Linked DNA regions of Arabidopsis thaliana. The protein of the gene in region 1 interacts with the protein of each later gene in a pairwise test. Each region holds a gene or a part of one and is shown in the gene's direction. Other genes may lie near its edges.

Region 1 (10,120 bases):
ACAATGCTACGTTTGTGCACTCACAAGTGTGTCAATCTGCACAATTATATTTGCATAATGTAAAGCAAGACCAGCAGGTCCCAATCTTTTATCATATTCTGCAGCTCCTTTCTTCGATGGTTGATCATCTGGGCAAAGAAAAATAATTTAATATAAGAAAATTCAGGTTGTTGCGTGAAAACTTAATTATGGAGGATCAATTAACAAGATATATTAGAGCATGTAGTAAAAAAGAGTAGTGGACGAGAGAAAAAATCAAAAGCTTAGATACATGCTCAGTAGCACATGGTGAAGGTACAAAAAGGAGGAACTTACATACCGGCACCACCGAAGATATTATGAATCTCTAGCAACAAGAAATGTACAATGTCTACTAGTTTCTCCATCACCTGAAATACAAATTAGCAGGTAAGTTAAAGATCATAATAATCTATTTATGTTAGCAAGATTTTTTAAAACAAGAGATTTGGTTTGACTGAATTTTAGTTGGTGAAGTGTAATGTTTAAAGTGATTTAAAATGATGCATTTACACCATATAGCTGAAGGATTGGTGGTGTTAGTTGATAAATCTGTACACACCTCTTCAAAACCTCTGGACCACAACGACTTTTTCTTTAAGCTTTTCACTACCTTTCTCTGGGCTTTAAGTTCCGTTTTTAAGATTGCAAGGCCATCACCTACGTGAAGAAAAGAGTACTGTCATTTAAACGATGTTCCAAATCTAATAAAGCAGCCAAGTAGTCTTCGGTAACTTACCCTTACTGCTATTAGCTGAGTTCTCTTCTTCTCGACGCTTTTGCTCATAGTCTTTCTCCAATCGATACAATACTTGGAGTTCTTGGTATAGTTCCTGAACCAAAAGAGATATTGAGATGTGTGAGTGACATGACAAATAACCTCCCTTTTTTTATCACATATTCTTTCGAAAGTAAACAGCTACTAAAGAAGATAGCTGATAGCTCAACGCACAGAACACCACATCTAAGTAGCAAGAACAAGTCAATATGCTTTTAGAGTTTCTAATTTTTGAAAGTAGTCACTCACAGCAGTATACTGCACTAGAACCATCAGTTGGTCAACAACCAACACCGCGTCTTCCTTTAACTGCCTTTGAGGGGTTAATTCTTTGCTGATCCTGAGGACAAAAGAAACGATTCGGCAGCTTAAAAGAAAGCTAGACAAACAAATATTAACATTCTCCCATGTACAAATATTTTGAATAAAGCTACCTATCGAAATAGCGCTGTAAATTATGCCACTGAAAATCTTTGGATCGGTTTCCAAACCGAACCACTTCCCCCGAGAAAACTTGCAGCTCCTGCCTGCAAATATATCAAGTTAACTATCTTGCCATGTTTTAAAAAAGCTAGGAAAAAACAAAAGAAGCCGTCTAGACTAAAATTTTCACCTCTTATCAGCTGCAACAAGTCTGAGTAGTTCATCGAAATCATTCGAGACTAGGTTTTGAACACCCTCAGAATAAAGGATAGTTCCTTTTAAATGCTCGATGTTCCTCTTAGAAAGGGATTCAATGAGATTTGAGCTTTTGACAATTGTGTTTGCTACTTCAAAAGCTAAGATCCCAAGTTCATTGCCTTTAGTTGCAACTCCAGAAGTAAATCCACCGCTACTAAGATCTGTCATGCTACTTCCAAGGGTATCCAAAACATCTTTTGCTCTACCTAACCCCGCTTTGCCTAAAAGCTTACTTGCCTCTGTAACCTGCCACAGTATAGCAAATTCGGATTGGTCTCACGACATTTCAGGACTTCTAAACTTAAAAGACACTTGCCGTTACTAAGAGACAATGCTTTAACTCTTAATCTTAGTTGCTAAAAAAGGAGCTTCATTTGGTCCATACTAACCTTTGAAACAGCGGTTTGAGTTGATTTTGCAGACCGAATTTTCTGTGATGGAGCCATAGTATACGTCGGAATTCCATCATAGAAATTATCTTCAGCTTCCCTTTCGCGGAAAGAGAAAACATCTTTTAATTGATTTTGTTCCTTGACGTCTTTAACCATAAGCTGCCTCATACCAGGAACAATCAAACTGGTTTGCCCATTTGGTTGTGAGTGGCCAAAATCAGGTTCTCGACCATCATCAGCCACACTAGAACCAGAATACTCGCTGCCAAAATTGATTCCAAGGCTCTTGGAGCAAAAACTCCCCATAACTCTTTTCCAAAGACCTTTAAGCTAAGTTATCGAAAAGATCATGCCACTGTGGGGAAGAGTAATAACCTAGAACAAAGGAAAAAGTCAGATCAAGAGACTCAAGGAGACCAAATCTTCCAAACTAAATTAGTAACACAGAGATAGGATCGTGTCCGAAATAGTTTAAGACATTGTAATCGCCTTGGGGGAAATTAACAGATTCACATAAAGCCAAAGCCGTTCACGAAGTAAAAGCCTTTAAGTCAAACACTGTGCAAGTCTTCTTTCTCCAAAAAACCTAAGCAAGATCGTATTTTGAGGAGAGGAATGCGAAGAAGAAGACTTACCCAGTAGAGAAAAAGACCAGAAAAGACTTGGGCCAAGCCAATTTCGGAGGTATAGAGCTTGGGATTCACGACACACAACAGTGAAAAGACAAAAGAGACAAAGGAACCTCGAACACGAGAGAATTGATGTTAAAAAGGAGAAAGTCAAGGAGAGTAGTATGAACTAGGAACGAAGGAAGAAATCAGAAAAACAAAAATTAAAAGAGAGATTGGACCACACCAAATTGGCATCAGCTAAAGCCAAATTGAAACAACCAGCTTGATAAAGAAACAAACGAAGAAAAGTCTAAACCTTTTTTCTTTTAATCTCCTCACACTCCATGTTAATAAAAAGAGTCACAGGCGGTGATGGATTGGTCAAATCGTCCCTTATTACCACGCCATTGACTCATTTTGTGCTCTGTCTTTTTACATTCCGTGCAAGTAAAAAACTCATCTTTACTTTCAATCCCTCACTCCTCTTACTTCTAAACCGAAATTGCGCTAAAAGGTTAGGACTTTTCATAGGGATTAAATTAGTCTTAAAAGGCATGTGAAGATCTTATATAAGAAATGATTAAACACTAATCAACTCATCATTGAATAAAAAAGAGTCTTATATTCTCAAAATGCATGATTTCTGGTTCATCGAATCAAATCATAGCACAACAATATTGAACAAAAAGCTTATTTCTATGTTTTTTGACATTTGATGTTCTACTTCGAATATTTTTGGGTTTAGAATTATCTGATTTAAAATCAATTTATTTGATCTTGTTCAGTTTCATTAAATTTGTGGTCTAATTTCGGTTTAATTCACACAAAACAAATTCGTTATTTTAAGAAAACAGATTTGGATCGAATCGGGTCGGGTGGGTTAGAATCCGATGGACAGGCCCAATTGGATACAGTGGCCCAGTTACATAGTCTGTGGCTCAGGATACTTTGAATTTCTCTCAAAACAGTAGAGAGAGGTGTAGAGAGCTTAGACAGTGCCATGGCCATGGCTTCTGCTATGGACTTATCTTCTCCTCCAACGTTTTTCTTATCCGGAACTTCTACATCTTCCCCATCTCTCCGTCGTCTCTCCTCCATTTCCGTCTCTGGATTCCGCCGTCACTCTAATCGGAAGTTACAGATACTTTGCCAAGCCACAGCTGGAACTGAGCCTCAGAGCGGTCTCTCTGTCTCTGGCTCCAAATTAGCCGCCCGTTCTGGTCAAGACCGTCTTTTGAAGGTCGGGTTCTGTTTTGTTCTCTCTCTTCATCCGTGTGCCGAAACTTGAGAAGAATTTGGATTTTTTTTGAAACTGAATTTGTTATGAAATTCGCAGGTTCCAATTTCGAACATCAGGAATTTTAGTATTATAGCTCATATTGATCATGGGAAATCTACGTTAGCGGATAAGTTGCTTCAGGTGACTGGTACTGTTCAGAACAGAGATATGAAGGAGCAGTTTCTTGATAACATGGACTTAGAGAGAGAACGAGGCATCACTATCAAGCTTCAGGTTTTTCTTTCAATCGCTTTCTCTGCACAATCAAAAATCAGTTTCGATAAGATTGCTCAACGGTCTGATTTGTAACTTTGCGGTGTATGTTTGTGTAGGCAGCTCGAATGCGTTATGTTTATGAAGATACACCGTTTTGCCTCAACTTGATAGATACTCCAGGTCATGTTGATTTCTCTTACGAGGTACTTACAATATTCTAATCTACTTATTGTCTACGGATACATTTGAAGCTTAGCCTTATAGTTATTTTTCATATGTGAGAAGTTACTTGGTTTGAGTGTTATATATCACCTAAAAGCGTAATTTTTTTTACAGTTAGGAATATACACAAACTATTAAGTTGCAGTTTTGATGAAGAATGCACTGTTTATTTGTACATAGGTTTCCCGATCTCTTGCTGCTTGCGAGGGTGCTCTTCTTGTTGTGGATGCATCCCAGGTGATTTTTCTTTCTCTTGACATACAATTTTCTGACACGCTGTGGAAACCTGGAATCTGTATTGTTTATGCCGTTTTTTCGCTTGGTAATTTCGTTCTTTTCTGATGGTTACATACTTACATTACTGAAAAACTTAAACTTCCTCTATCATGTGCTTTAGGGTGTGGAAGCACAAACATTGGCTAATGTGTATTTGGCCTTGGAAAACAACCTCGAAATTATTCCCGTAAGTACGGAATTATGCTTCATCTTATTAGCTATATGTGCTAGTTATCATCATTCCTTTTAACAAATCACATTTCAACTATATGTGGTAGTTATCATCATTCTTTCCTTCGTCTCATCTCCATGGAAGATTATTTAAAAATGTCAATGTCGTTTTATTTAAAAGAAGTCGGAGTCTGCAATAAGTTAACTTTCAAACAAGGCAAATATGTTAAAAAAAATAGGTAGTATCACTCTGGCAGTACATAGAAGATGCGTAGTAAAGAAAAGAATAGCTAGTCTAGGATAAAATGATTATATCATTTAACGTTTCATTATTGCTTCAACCTGATTCATGACTATACAGGAAATAATAATGTAAGGTGGTTTATTCTTCTTTCAAATATTTGGTCTGCATACCAGAGTTTAAAGCAAATGAACTCTACTTCTTCCTGCAGGTTTTAAATAAGATTGACCTTCCAGGCGCTGAGCCAGAGAAAGTTCTCAGGGAGATTGAGGAGGTTGGTGATTATGTTCATTGTGTTACCCATTTTATGATGTTCGTATTCAATAGCAATCATACAATGCAACCAGTAATAATTTGAACAGTATTCCTTTTTGGGTGTCTGCAAAAACTCTTCAGTCTTTTATTTTTCTGTTGTCAATATGTTATCTTGACATTTTACAAGGTTCTAGCTTCTAGTATTAGATATTATGTTGATTATTGCGGTACATTCTTTTATGCTTTAAACATTTTCTTTGTGATATTATGATCCAGTCTCATGTTCCTCGAATGGGGTAATTGTCTCATTGCTGCAATTTCAGAGACATCAGCCTTTATGTGAACACTGATTGATAATTCATATTGTTTGTAGGTTATTGGGTTAGATTGTAGCAAAGCGATATTCTGTTCGGCAAAGGTTAGATTTTAAAATTGTTTTGCTATTCTGCTACCCAAAAATTAAGACGTGTGGCTTTCTATCCATTCAATTACAATTTTTGGGGAATAATATATACACGCAGGAGGGAATTGGTATTACCGAGATTTTGGATGCAATTGTTCAAAGGATACCTGCACCTCTCGATACTGCAGGAAAGCCCTTAAGAGCTTTAATTTTTGACAGGTTTGCACTTGTTGTTTTTATTCATAACGATTTTTGCCTTTTCTAGAGAAAACAGTATGAAATTGAGTCTTGGAGTCGAAGTTGTATTCGTATATAATGATTGGACTGATCATTGGCATGTCAAGTCAGTACCAGTTAATCACTGGTGAACTAAAAATGAGTGTGAAATACTCGTGTTTGTTTTGCTTGATTAGTCTACAAGTGTGCAGTTTTTATATGTGAACTACTTTATATTTTTCGTCCAAAATTCATTTTGCTGCAGTTATTATGATCCATATCGTGGTGTCATTGTATACTTTCGAGTTATCGATGGGAAAGTGAAGAAAGGCGACAGAATTTTTTTCATGGCAAGCGGAAAGGTTTATCTCTTTTACTCTACTGTACTGTCTTTCTATTTAATCGAGATAGCTTTCCATTTGCCAATAATGAATTGAATGTAATTTGTGCATGAGATAGGTTTTCGCGGTCTATTTGAATAAAGCGATGTGAAGTGTTATTCTATAATTCTTTCAGGAAAAATTTGAGAATGTTTAAGCTTTTAAGAACGCTTACTTGTGTTTCACTAGTATCCTTCATGTTCTCAGTTTTGCATCAATTGCAGGATTATTTTGCGGATGAAGTCGGAGTTCTATCTCCAAATCAAATTCAAGTGGATGAATTATATGCGGGTGAGGTAGTGTACTCTTTTGAACATAATATTTTGTTTGTTTTGTTTACTTTCCTGTGCATCCATGTCCCATTTTCTTGTTGAATTTTTTTCTTTCAGCAGAAACCTTGGTATTATGAAATGAAAATGTCAGTATTCTTTTGCAGTTTCCGCCGTTCTATTCCAACACATGTTAATAGGAAAACTAAAAGCGTTTGTAAATGGAAGGATTTTCTTAGCATTTCCTTGTAGCAGCTTTGGCAGAAGATAGAGTTGTGGTTAATAACAATTTGAATGCAATGAAACAAATATGTTTTCACTTTTCTTGTTTGGCTATATTTGAGAAGAAATGGTTAGTTGCATCTTCCCTTGCTCAAGTTCTAATAGCTAGAAAGATGTTTTTAGCACTGATTGATGCTGCTGGTGTATATCAGATATGCCTGAATATCATGCCACATTTCTTGCACATATTTTAAAGGTTACTGTCCTTAAATACAGGTAGGATATATTGCGGCTTCTGTAAGATCTGTTGCAGATGCCAGGGTAGGAGATACAATAACACATTATAGCAGAAAGGCAGAAAGCTCTTTACCTGGTTACGAGGAAGCTACCCCTATGGTGTTCTGTGGTCTTTTTCCAGTTGACGCTGACCAGTACTGAGTTTTTGTTTTTCATTGTTGACTTTTTGCTTTTTCATTTTGTATTTTTTTTTTTCACACCTGGTCTATGATGGCAGGTTTCCCGATCTTCGCGATGCATTGGAAAAACTGCAACTCAATGATGCTGCATTGAAGGTATAGTAGAATTAAATGACAGAAACAACATTTTTCTTTCATCTGTACCCAGAATAATTTGCACGGACGAAACAACTATGGTCTTCGTATGCTTACTTAGCCAATGTATGTTTATGCCCAGTTGGCTTCGAATTGGAAAGTAAAATTGTGTTTTGCAAAGAACTGGTCTTCAGTCCTCTATTGTATGTATCTTTGTTAAAAATATTCACATTTGGTCTAAGGAGCGTATACGTTAGCATTAACATATCTATAGGTTTGTCCTCAACTTGGTTTTTATCCTGCAGTTTGAGCCTGAAACTTCGAGTGCCATGGGATTTGGCTTTAGATGCGGGTTTTTGGGTCTTCTCCACATGGAAATTGTGCAGGTCAGATATGTTTCGCTCTTCTTGTTCTAAAGTGTTTTTGGTGCGTCTCTGACTGAAAATTTCCTATGCAACAGAAGATAGAGAAAAGAAATTCATAGATACTGAGTTATCTGTTAGTATTTTACTTATTTACAGTTTCCTCCCCGATAGATACCCGCCATAAATTATACTCAACAAAGTGAATTATATCATTCTTTGTTCTTACGCTCCAGTTCACTCTTCTTCACAGGAAAGGCTAGAGAGGGAGTACAACTTAAATCTTATTACCACAGCTCCAAGTGTTGTTTATAGGGTGAACTCTGTAAATGGTGATACTGTAATTTCCTCTTGATCCCAAACTTTTAAATATTCTTCTTTGTTCCCTGAAAATCGCATCCTTTTGTCTTTCTTTCTTGATCTAGAGCCTTATTACCTGTGAAATCAATTTTACTGCAGACTTTGTGCTCAAATCCATCACGCCTTCCAGATCCTGGGCAAAGGAAATCGGTCGAGGAGCCATACGTTAAGGTTGCCTTTTCTACTGGAGATATTGCTGATAAGTTCACACACCACATTTCGTAGAATTACATTTCCTTACTGCAAAACCATTTTATACAGATTGAACTGCTCACACCAAAAGACTATATTGGTGCGCTTATGGAGCTCGCTCAAGAGAGGAGAGGGGAGTTCAAAGAAATGAAATATATAGCTGAGAACAGAGCTTCAATCCTCTATGAGTTACCTCTTGCAGAGGTGAGATCTCTGCTTGTGCAGAGTTAAGATAACCCCAATGAAAGTTTAGCCATGTCTCTCTTGATTATGTAAACTGATCTTCTTGTTAATCGCTCCCTGCCATTTTGCAGATGGTGGGTGATTTCTTTGACCAATTGAAGTCGAGAACCAAGGGATATGCTAGCATGGAATACTCCGTTATTGGGTTAGATCTTTCAACTTTTAATACACAGATCTTTCTCTTACTTTGTGATGCTTGCCTTCTATTTTTGTTGATTAACAAAGAAATGCGTCAGCTTTTTTGTGAAGATAAGAATCTATATTCTTTTCATAGTAATCCCAAAGTGATAAACAAGTATCTAAAATATATATATTTGCTTAGCAGCATCAGATCAATTTCAATCAGGTTAATTATCGTGTTGCTCTCTATCGTTAAATTTGGTAGCCCTTCTTTATACAAGTTAACTACTCAGCTTCGTCAGTTTCCATTTAAGCTTAATACATAATATGTTTCTTTTGCTCTTTTTGATGTCTTTCTTACCATCTTAAGGTATTCAACTTTTTTTTTTTGTCTTGTAATATGTGAGCAGGTACAGGGAAAGTGATCTGATAAAACTCGATATTCTGATTAATGCTGAAATGGTGGAACCTTTGTCAACCATCGTACACAGGGATAAGGTTATTTTGCTTAAGCTCTTTAATATGAACTTTTATGAATACAGCATACATACGCACTCTTACACCTGAATACAAAAATTTGGTTCAGCAATCTCATTGATACAATTTCACTTGCCCAAAAAGTTTGGATAAGTAGATTGATGGAAACACGAGGCGCTGCCAACTATCTTTTACACATCTCTGATTGTAAAGTTTTGTAGAACTGTTCCCATTAGCTTAAAGCTCTTACGGCAGAGATTAGTACATCTCTCACGATTTAGCAATGATTTATATCTTGTCCTCACAGTATTGTGGAATCGTTTTGTACTGTGATTCCAGGCATATTCCGTTGGGAGAGCTTTGACTCAGAAACTCAAAGAGCTTATTCCACGACAAATGTTTAAAGTGCCCATCCAGGTATATATCTGCATTTCCAAGCATTTGCAAACAATTGGCTAGAGAGTTCTCTTCCAAATAACTTACATTTCTACGAATGCTTGAAGATTTGAATCTTACACCGAGGGCCTGAGGCACATAAGATGGATTGGATCTTAAACTCTTCTTCTTCTGAGCTTTTAAAAAACTTACTTGTGATCAAATGGGTCTGATGAATTGTGTTCCTGCTTGGTTATCTGACAATGCCCTTAGAATATAGAAACCACGGAAGATGTTTTGACATACACATATACTTGCAGGCTTGTATAGGATCCAAGGTGATTGCTAGTGAAGCACTCTCAGCAATCAGAAAAGATGTTTTGGCAAAATGTTATGGTAAGTACACATTCCCTTGGTTCCCTTCCTCCTTTTATAAAAGCATGAAATAACCACCAGCTGACTTGATATCGAAACTCATTTACCATTTTAGTGTAAGCTCTTGTATTATCAGAAACTTCTTCTAAAGGCTCTTTCTTGTACAACTAGATTCAGACACAGAAAATGAAGTAGTTTTCTCTTTGACGTGTTTGTTCCCACGAGGGCATATCTGATCTTGTTACATTCATTCAGGTGGAGATATTTCTCGGAAGAAGAAGCTTCTTAAGAAACAGGTATATCTCTCTATAAGGGCGAAATCTTGATTTCATGATTGTATCTTCAGCGGTTTCTGTGTTCCTTAAAATGAGTTTTTGTTTTGAACAGGCGGCAGGTAAGAAGAGAATGAAAGCCATAGGTAGAGTTGATGTCCCT
Region 2 (6,643 bases), about 18 Mb from region 1:
CCAAAAGATGAGCAGACTATGAAGGAATTTGAAAATATACTACGAAACTCACTCGGTAGCCATAGTAGTTTCTGTAATTTCCGAAGGGATAAACTTCTTGATTCTTCTTCTTCTTGCTTTGATTACAATTTCCTTGTTGTCCTTGTTGTTGCTTCTGCTTCTGCTGTGTTGGGACTTTCTCTTCATTAGCAACTACTTTCTCAACACTCTTCTCATTCTCATTACTTCTGTTTCTCTTCTTCTTATTCTTCTTCTGATCGTTGTCCCGACCCATTTTTTTCTCACACGCGTTGATGAACAAAGCTCGCGAAGTTAGGGTTTCTTCTATGTTATCGCTATCAGCTAGATTCTTAGAATCGAAACAAAACGATTAAGTCTAAACAGAGAGATTCGACGAAGCTAGCTCCTAGAGAGGTTTTTCTTCGAGGTTAAGCGGCGCAGAGCGAGGAGGAAGAAGAAGAAGAAGAACCGAACCGCCTTTGAAAGTCCAAAAGGGTTTAACGAGTCTCATATTTAAGTAATCCTCTCTTTTTTAGTTAATACATTCTTTAAACCTATTTATGTAAATATACGAAAGTTTCCTTTTCTTTCACCGACGTGGCCAAATTAATCTTAGAGAATTAACTTTTGTTTTTTTTTGGTCAATATGCATCAAATCTAGAACAATGGAAGCTTGCGAGTTATTGTGAAATCGTGACTCGTGTTTGAAGATAATAAAAACAAAGGAACTCATCAAAATGTTGCACTTGTCATCAAATATTGTACAGAAAATCTAGAATATAATTCCCCTCTCTCTTCTGCCATACAATTCTTCAACTCATCTCTGTTAATCGAAACAACTGCAGCGTCCGATGAACCGTGTTGATGATGATAAGCTTTCCCGAAAACGGAGAAGCAGCTGCTACTTTTTTAACACCAATTTGCCTAATCAGTACGGTCTGTAGCGCATAGGCCGTCTGAACCTGGGAACTCTCCTGCACAAACCATCAACCATTGTCAATTTTATGAACAACCATGATGAATCAAACAAATGGACTTTAAAAGAGAGGATAGGCAGGTAAGGTTCTAGAACACACCCATAAGCATATGGAGGATAAAATGGAACTCCTGGCATGAATCCCCTCATCGGTCTAAAGGGACGCCCTCTTCCTCGAAATTGCCTCATTCCAGGTACATTAGTCCTCTTTGCAGATACCTGAAAATAGATTAAACAAAGTTTAGTAATGACAAATCGTAATATGGAAAATAATTAACTACATCGTATTGAACGAGTTTGCACCTTTATCTGACGACCATGTAGTTCTGACTCGTTCAAAATAAGCGAATTCTGAACAGCTTCTACTTCCACAAATTCGACATACGCAAAACCTTTAGGTTGACCAAACTTATCTGTCAGAATTGTAACCCTATTCACTGTCCCACATGATTGAAAATGCTGCTGGACTTCCTCTGGAGTACATGCATAGTCCACCTAATATACACAAAAAAACAAAGACACAGGATATCTAAAGAATCAGCTTCACAGATGGGAGATATGAAGGCTTTCTGAAATATGAAGGAAAGTTAGTTTAGCAATTACTAGAGATAAAGAAATAAACAACAAGCAGCCTCCAAATTTCATTGATACCAAAGCAATAAAACACACAAACTTTCTTTAAAAAAGATACAAACATATATGAGAAACATGTGAAAATTAATGGTGGAACAAGCCTCACATTGCCAACATATATTGAACGCGAATCCACTTCTTCCTTCTCAGCCGCACTAACACCACCTGAAGGGTCTTCATTGATATGCAACAACATAAAAGGTATTGACCCAATTAGCTAACTGACAAGACTCCACAATACTATTAATGATTTCCTTCTCATACTCAAACTCCAGTAAATTTCTAGACAGATTCATTGATTCACTAAAAGATTCCAATATGTAAACCCAAAGCAATATCATAATCAACAAGACAAGCTTTAAACCTAATCTATCAATTTAAAGGTTAATGTGAAGCTGCGCACAAAGATTCAAGATTTTACGTATCAGTTAATAAGTACAAACCTTGACTAGCACCCATATCTTTCTCAGCCTTGGCTTGCATTTCACGCAAAGCTCCAGCTTCTTCCTCAATCTCCTTAATTCGTTTCTTCATATCCTCCAAGTCCTATCAAACAATCAAAGCAAATAACAGACTAAATACAGTAAAAAATAAGAAGAGTCTCAATTGGATAAAAGTAAATTATAGATCGAAGAATCACAATACCCTAGAGCTAGAGCCAGGTTCAAGCTCCTCATCTCCGGCGGCGGCACCTTCTTCTCCGCCGTGTTCTTCGTACTCTTCCGTATCCATCTCACCTTCTTCCTCTTCTGGGATCTCTCCACCGTACACCTCATGCTCTTGCTCATCGTGCACCGGCATCTTTCTCTCTCTATATCTCTCACTCGGCGACTGTCGTTAAAGCGAGAAACAGAAGTCTCGGAATTTTAGGGCTTGAAATCGGGAAAGAAGGGAAGGTTTGTTTGTAATTAAAGATACCCAAAAAGGATACTTTCGGAATTATGAAATCTTAAGTAGATTCACCAAAAGTGGACACAAAAGTACAATCAAACCCAATGGGCTTCTCAGATTAAAACGTGACGTGTAAAGTCGGTCCCACGAAAGTTTATTGTGGTTCCCATTAGTCATTAGTGATTACGTGGCACCTCACCCATTTAACTCAGTCCAGTGGTCTGAAAATCGTTTCGCTCTCTAAAAACCAAAACTCTTATCTTCGGTACAGAGCAAATCACAGCTCCCGATGGCCGCCACGTCATCATCACCGCCGTGTAACATCTCCGCGTCCTCCCTCCTCCTCCGTCAACCTTCTCGCTCAATCCTTAAAGTGTTCGGTTTATTACCACCTGTAAGTAGGAATAACCGTAAACTCGGCCGGTTAACGGTGACCCGGTCTAATCTGGCGCAGGATTTTCTTGGTGACTTCGGAGCTCGTGACCCTTACCCGGAGGAGATAGCGAGTCAATTCGGAGATAAAGTGTTGGGATGCCAAAGCACTGAGCACAAGATTTTGATACCAAACGCATCTGTTTTGTCTCTCTCCCAGCTTCAGTGTTCCCCTGTTTCGTCTTCACAGCCTCCTTTGTCCGGCGATGATGCCAGAACTCTCCTCCACAAGGTACTTATACTATTTCTCTCTTAGTATAAAAATGTTCGAGTTTTGATTTTACAAGTTTGTTGGTTGATCAAAATATTGTGAAAATGTTATTGATTCTGCGTTTAACAGATTTCTAATCTATAAAGATAGAATTGTGACCCAAAAATATAGAAAAGCCAATGAAAATTTTAGTATCATGAGGGACATATTAGGAACAATGGTTACGAGATTAAAAAAAAATGAAATGATTAGTGTTGATAAGGCTCATGTTGGTGTTTTGGTTCACGGTTACCACTCTAATGATGTGGTACATCAATCTCAATGATTATTATGTAAACGTTTTAGGTTTTGGGATGGAGTATAGTGGATAATGAAGCGGGTGGTCTGAAAATAAGGTGTATGTGGAAAGTGAGGGATTTTGGGTGCGGTGTTGAACTCATAAACAGGATCCATAAGGTTGCTGAAGCTTCTGGTCATTACCCTTCTCTTCACTTGGAAAGTCCTACCCAAGTTCGAGCTGAACTATTTACCTCTTCTATCGGTATGTCAAATATTTGATGTTCGAGTTTGAGTTTTAATATATGGTTTCTTAAGACGGTTTGTTGGATGAATAATGCAGGAGGGTTGAGCATGAATGATTTCATAATGGCGGCTAAAATAGATGATATCAAGACTTCTGATCTTTCCCCTAGGAAAAGAGCTTGGGCGTGATCTTCTTTTCATTATTTTGGAACATTTTTGTTTGATAGTATGTAATGTATGTGATGTATTCTAAATTGTGTGTGATCGGTCTACATGTCGAGTTATATAGAAAGCATTGTCATAACCGCATAAGAGATATCACGCAACATGTCTTTGAGATTCATTCATCAATCAAAAGAAGAAAGAACATCAATCATATGGAGCACAATATAAGAAATGAGACATTATTATTAGATTAAGACATTATTATTATCATTTCTTCTTCTAGAACATTCTGGGACTAACAAAAAATTCGAAAAAACACAACTACATTTTTGCATTCTAATAGGCGGTGGTGGTTGGAGGACTAGCCATTTTGGAGCATTGGTGTTTCATCATAGGAGGGAAAAACGGGTTGGATGGAAGATTTGGTAAGCAGTTAGCTTCAGCGTCAAGGAAAGCTTTACAACAAGCAGGACCAACGCCTTCAAATTTGCCGGACATTACGGCTTGTTGAATCTCTTCAAAGCATCCCGGCAAATCCATCACTGTTGACCAACATTTGCTCAAGTCGGGACTTCCTGCCATACCGGGACTTGGTTTGAACGGATTTGGAAACGGGAACATGATTGGGGGAAACTGCGGTAGCTGAGCATTAACGGAGGCTGCGATGCATACAACTACTAGGAGAGAAACAACACTCTTGATCGACATGATGAATATTTGGGGGACTATGCAACAAGAGAAATAGATGACTTGAGTTTTGTTTGATGAGATAAAGTTATTGGCTATGAGATCCAATTTATACTGTAATTAGTTTGGCGAAACGTATTTTTAAAAGTTGCTTTCAAAATCAAATTTGTCGTTTTAATTTTGGAAGAAAATCAAAAATAGTCAAAACGTTTGATGCACATTGAATTTGATGCTGTCATATTTCTCATATGTAAAGAAATAAATCTTTCCTAACAATATGATAGGAAATAATACAAAGATGACAGAAGGGAAGCAGTAACAAATTTTAAGTCTCTTTCGTCTTTATTCATCTTGATATATATCATCTCCTAATTTTTTTTTTGAGATTTTATTTACATTCATAGCAAGAAAAAGAAAAAAATCTTTTCAATTTAGGAATTGTTTTTCTTCCAACTTTTTGGAATCCTCTATATAGTAAAAGATGTGGCAAGCCCATAATTGTTCTCATCATTTTTATTTTTCATTTATTGAATATAATATACTCATTGTCAAACACTATTAATTCCACTATCCTTATCCTTATCCTTATTATTTTTTAAACCAAACATATTTTAATATTAAATACACCATCCAAAAATAATATTTTCGGATTTCTAAATATTTAGCTTATAGAAAGATTTCTTATTTATCAAATAAATTAATTTAATCAAATTTAAATTTACTATTTCCCAAATTACTAAAAACTTAACTTTTAAAATTAAAACATTAAATTATATAGCCCATATTTTTATCCTATAAATTTCATGCAGTATACTATATAGTGTCTATCTATTCAACACAATCATAGTTTTTTCCTATAATTTGATTTAAAAAAAATCATTCTCCTCTATACATAAGAGAGTCTTTAGTGTTTAGGATATAATCCCACAATTTTTCTCAAGTATTTTTTTCTTTAATTCTACTATATATCATTATTACCAAACATTTTTAATTGCAAATACTATTTATCTTATTTTCTTAAAACTAATTTTTAAACACTCATAAAAGATTTTTAATATATAAATTTACCATTTTAATAAAAGTAAATAGTATAAAATTTACGGCAATAATTAGATAAAATTTGTTACCATTTAAATTTGAAGATATGTTTGACCCTATATGAATCTCACATATGTTCTCAAACATTTGGATTTTAGAATAAACTAGAAATGGTTTCATACGTTAAACAACTTTGTATTGGTTCTAGTTTCACTTATTTCCGTTGTCTCATCATATGCAATTGCAAGATTCAATACAAAGGTTACAGAAAGTGAAATCAACGTCATATGAACAAACAAAGATGTCAATGCATCATTTTGCTTTGAGTTCTTGAAATCATCCTCTCAAATTGCAACACTAGATGTCTGGTCTAGCCAAATTGAAATCATCATTTTGTTTTATATGGATTTTTGTTTAAAAACGAAATTAAAAATCGTAAAATTAAACCAAATAATTTATATTTTGCTTTCGATTTATGAATGAAATCAAACAACAGAAAATAGCAAGAAACAATTTTTTATTTTGATTTTCGATTTGACAAAAATTAAAACAATAAAAACTGAAGTCGTGTAAGATCTGACTCCTCCACCAAGATCTGACTCTAAGCACATTGTTTAAAAGCATCAAACCATATAATTTGTATTTAAACCACATATACAACATAATTAATCATATATATAAATCCACACTTTAATACCAAATTATAACTGAAATCATAAATATCATGTATTAATTTTTTTCATTCACTCAATGTCATTTAAACACACAATTATTATAATTTTAATCTTTTATTTTTGAACTACACTTATTTTTACAGGAACAAAAACAAATATAATTCAATTGAAATTAGTATTTTAACACTAACCAAAAAGGAAATAAATTTGACTATGAGATAAGAAGGCGGGCTTAGTTATATAATAGCAAGAAAGAATCTGTATATTTGTTGAATCAAAAATAATCAGTAACGCTTTGAGTGAAGATGATGAATGTTGCAGTGACAGCCACTCCCTCGTCTCTCTTGTACTCTCCTCTGCTTCTTCCTTCTCAAGGTCTCTCCTTTTTCTATCTTACTCTCTCGCTTACTATGA

What was found. Proteins that work in one complex are often made in the same cells at the same time.
Region 2: the proteins of AT5G08650 (region 1) and AT5G51110 interact in a two-hybrid assay, tested with the Arabidopsis thaliana proteins (one large-scale study listed by BioGRID).

Annotation. Positions count from the first base shown.
Region 1 is NC_003076.8:2,806,581-2,816,700, reverse strand, and holds the start of AT5G08650 (Small GTP-binding protein), read left to right. Parts: upstream 1-3,098; 5' UTR 3,099-3,480; coding exon 3,481-3,720; intron 3,721-3,816; coding exon 3,817-3,993; intron 3,994-4,091; coding exon 4,092-4,178; intron 4,179-4,377; coding exon 4,378-4,434; intron 4,435-4,594; coding exon 4,595-4,660; intron 4,661-5,096; coding exon 5,097-5,159; intron 5,160-5,513; coding exon 5,514-5,558; intron 5,559-5,661; coding exon 5,662-5,762; intron 5,763-6,024; coding exon 6,025-6,121; intron 6,122-6,363; coding exon 6,364-6,435; intron 6,436-6,906; coding exon 6,907-7,061; intron 7,062-7,144; coding exon 7,145-7,202; intron 7,203-7,486; coding exon 7,487-7,567; intron 7,568-7,796; coding exon 7,797-7,883; intron 7,884-8,002; coding exon 8,003-8,074; intron 8,075-8,164; coding exon 8,165-8,299; intron 8,300-8,409; coding exon 8,410-8,483; intron 8,484-8,868; coding exon 8,869-8,956; intron 8,957-9,274; coding exon 9,275-9,352; intron 9,353-9,438; and 7 more. Other genes in the region: AT5G08660 (D-lactate dehydrogenase (DUF668)), read right to left, coding at 25-128, 320-389, 581-678, 758-851, 1,046-1,136, 1,231-1,323, 1,410-1,723, 1,867-2,175. UniProt on the Arabidopsis thaliana protein: Promotes chloroplast protein synthesis. May act as a fidelity factor of the translation reaction, by catalyzing a one-codon backward translocation of tRNAs on improperly translocated ribosomes.
Region 2 is NC_003076.8:20,775,527-20,782,169, reverse strand, and holds AT5G51110 (Transcriptional coactivator/pterin dehydratase), read left to right. Parts: upstream 1-2,681; 5' UTR 2,682-2,789; coding exon 2,790-3,164; intron 3,165-3,488; coding exon 3,489-3,684; intron 3,685-3,762; coding exon 3,763-3,854; 3' UTR 3,855-4,166; coding exon of another isoform or gene 4,167-4,538; 3' UTR 4,539-4,669; downstream 4,670-6,643. Other genes in the region: AT5G51130 (S-adenosyl-L-methionine-dependent methyltransferases superfamily protein), read right to left, coding at 53-274; PABN1 (polyadenylate-binding protein 1), read right to left, coding at 929-974, 1,077-1,195, 1,280-1,471, 1,716-1,774, 1,851-1,973, 2,053-2,155, 2,255-2,410; AT5G51105 (ECA1 gametogenesis family protein (DUF1278)), read right to left, coding at 4,167-4,538; FSD2 (Fe superoxide dismutase 2), read left to right, coding at 6,535-6,604. UniProt on the Arabidopsis thaliana protein: Involved in tetrahydrobiopterin biosynthesis. Interacts with and acts downstream of the E3 ubiquitin-protein ligase SDIR1 in abscisic acid (ABA) and salt stress signaling.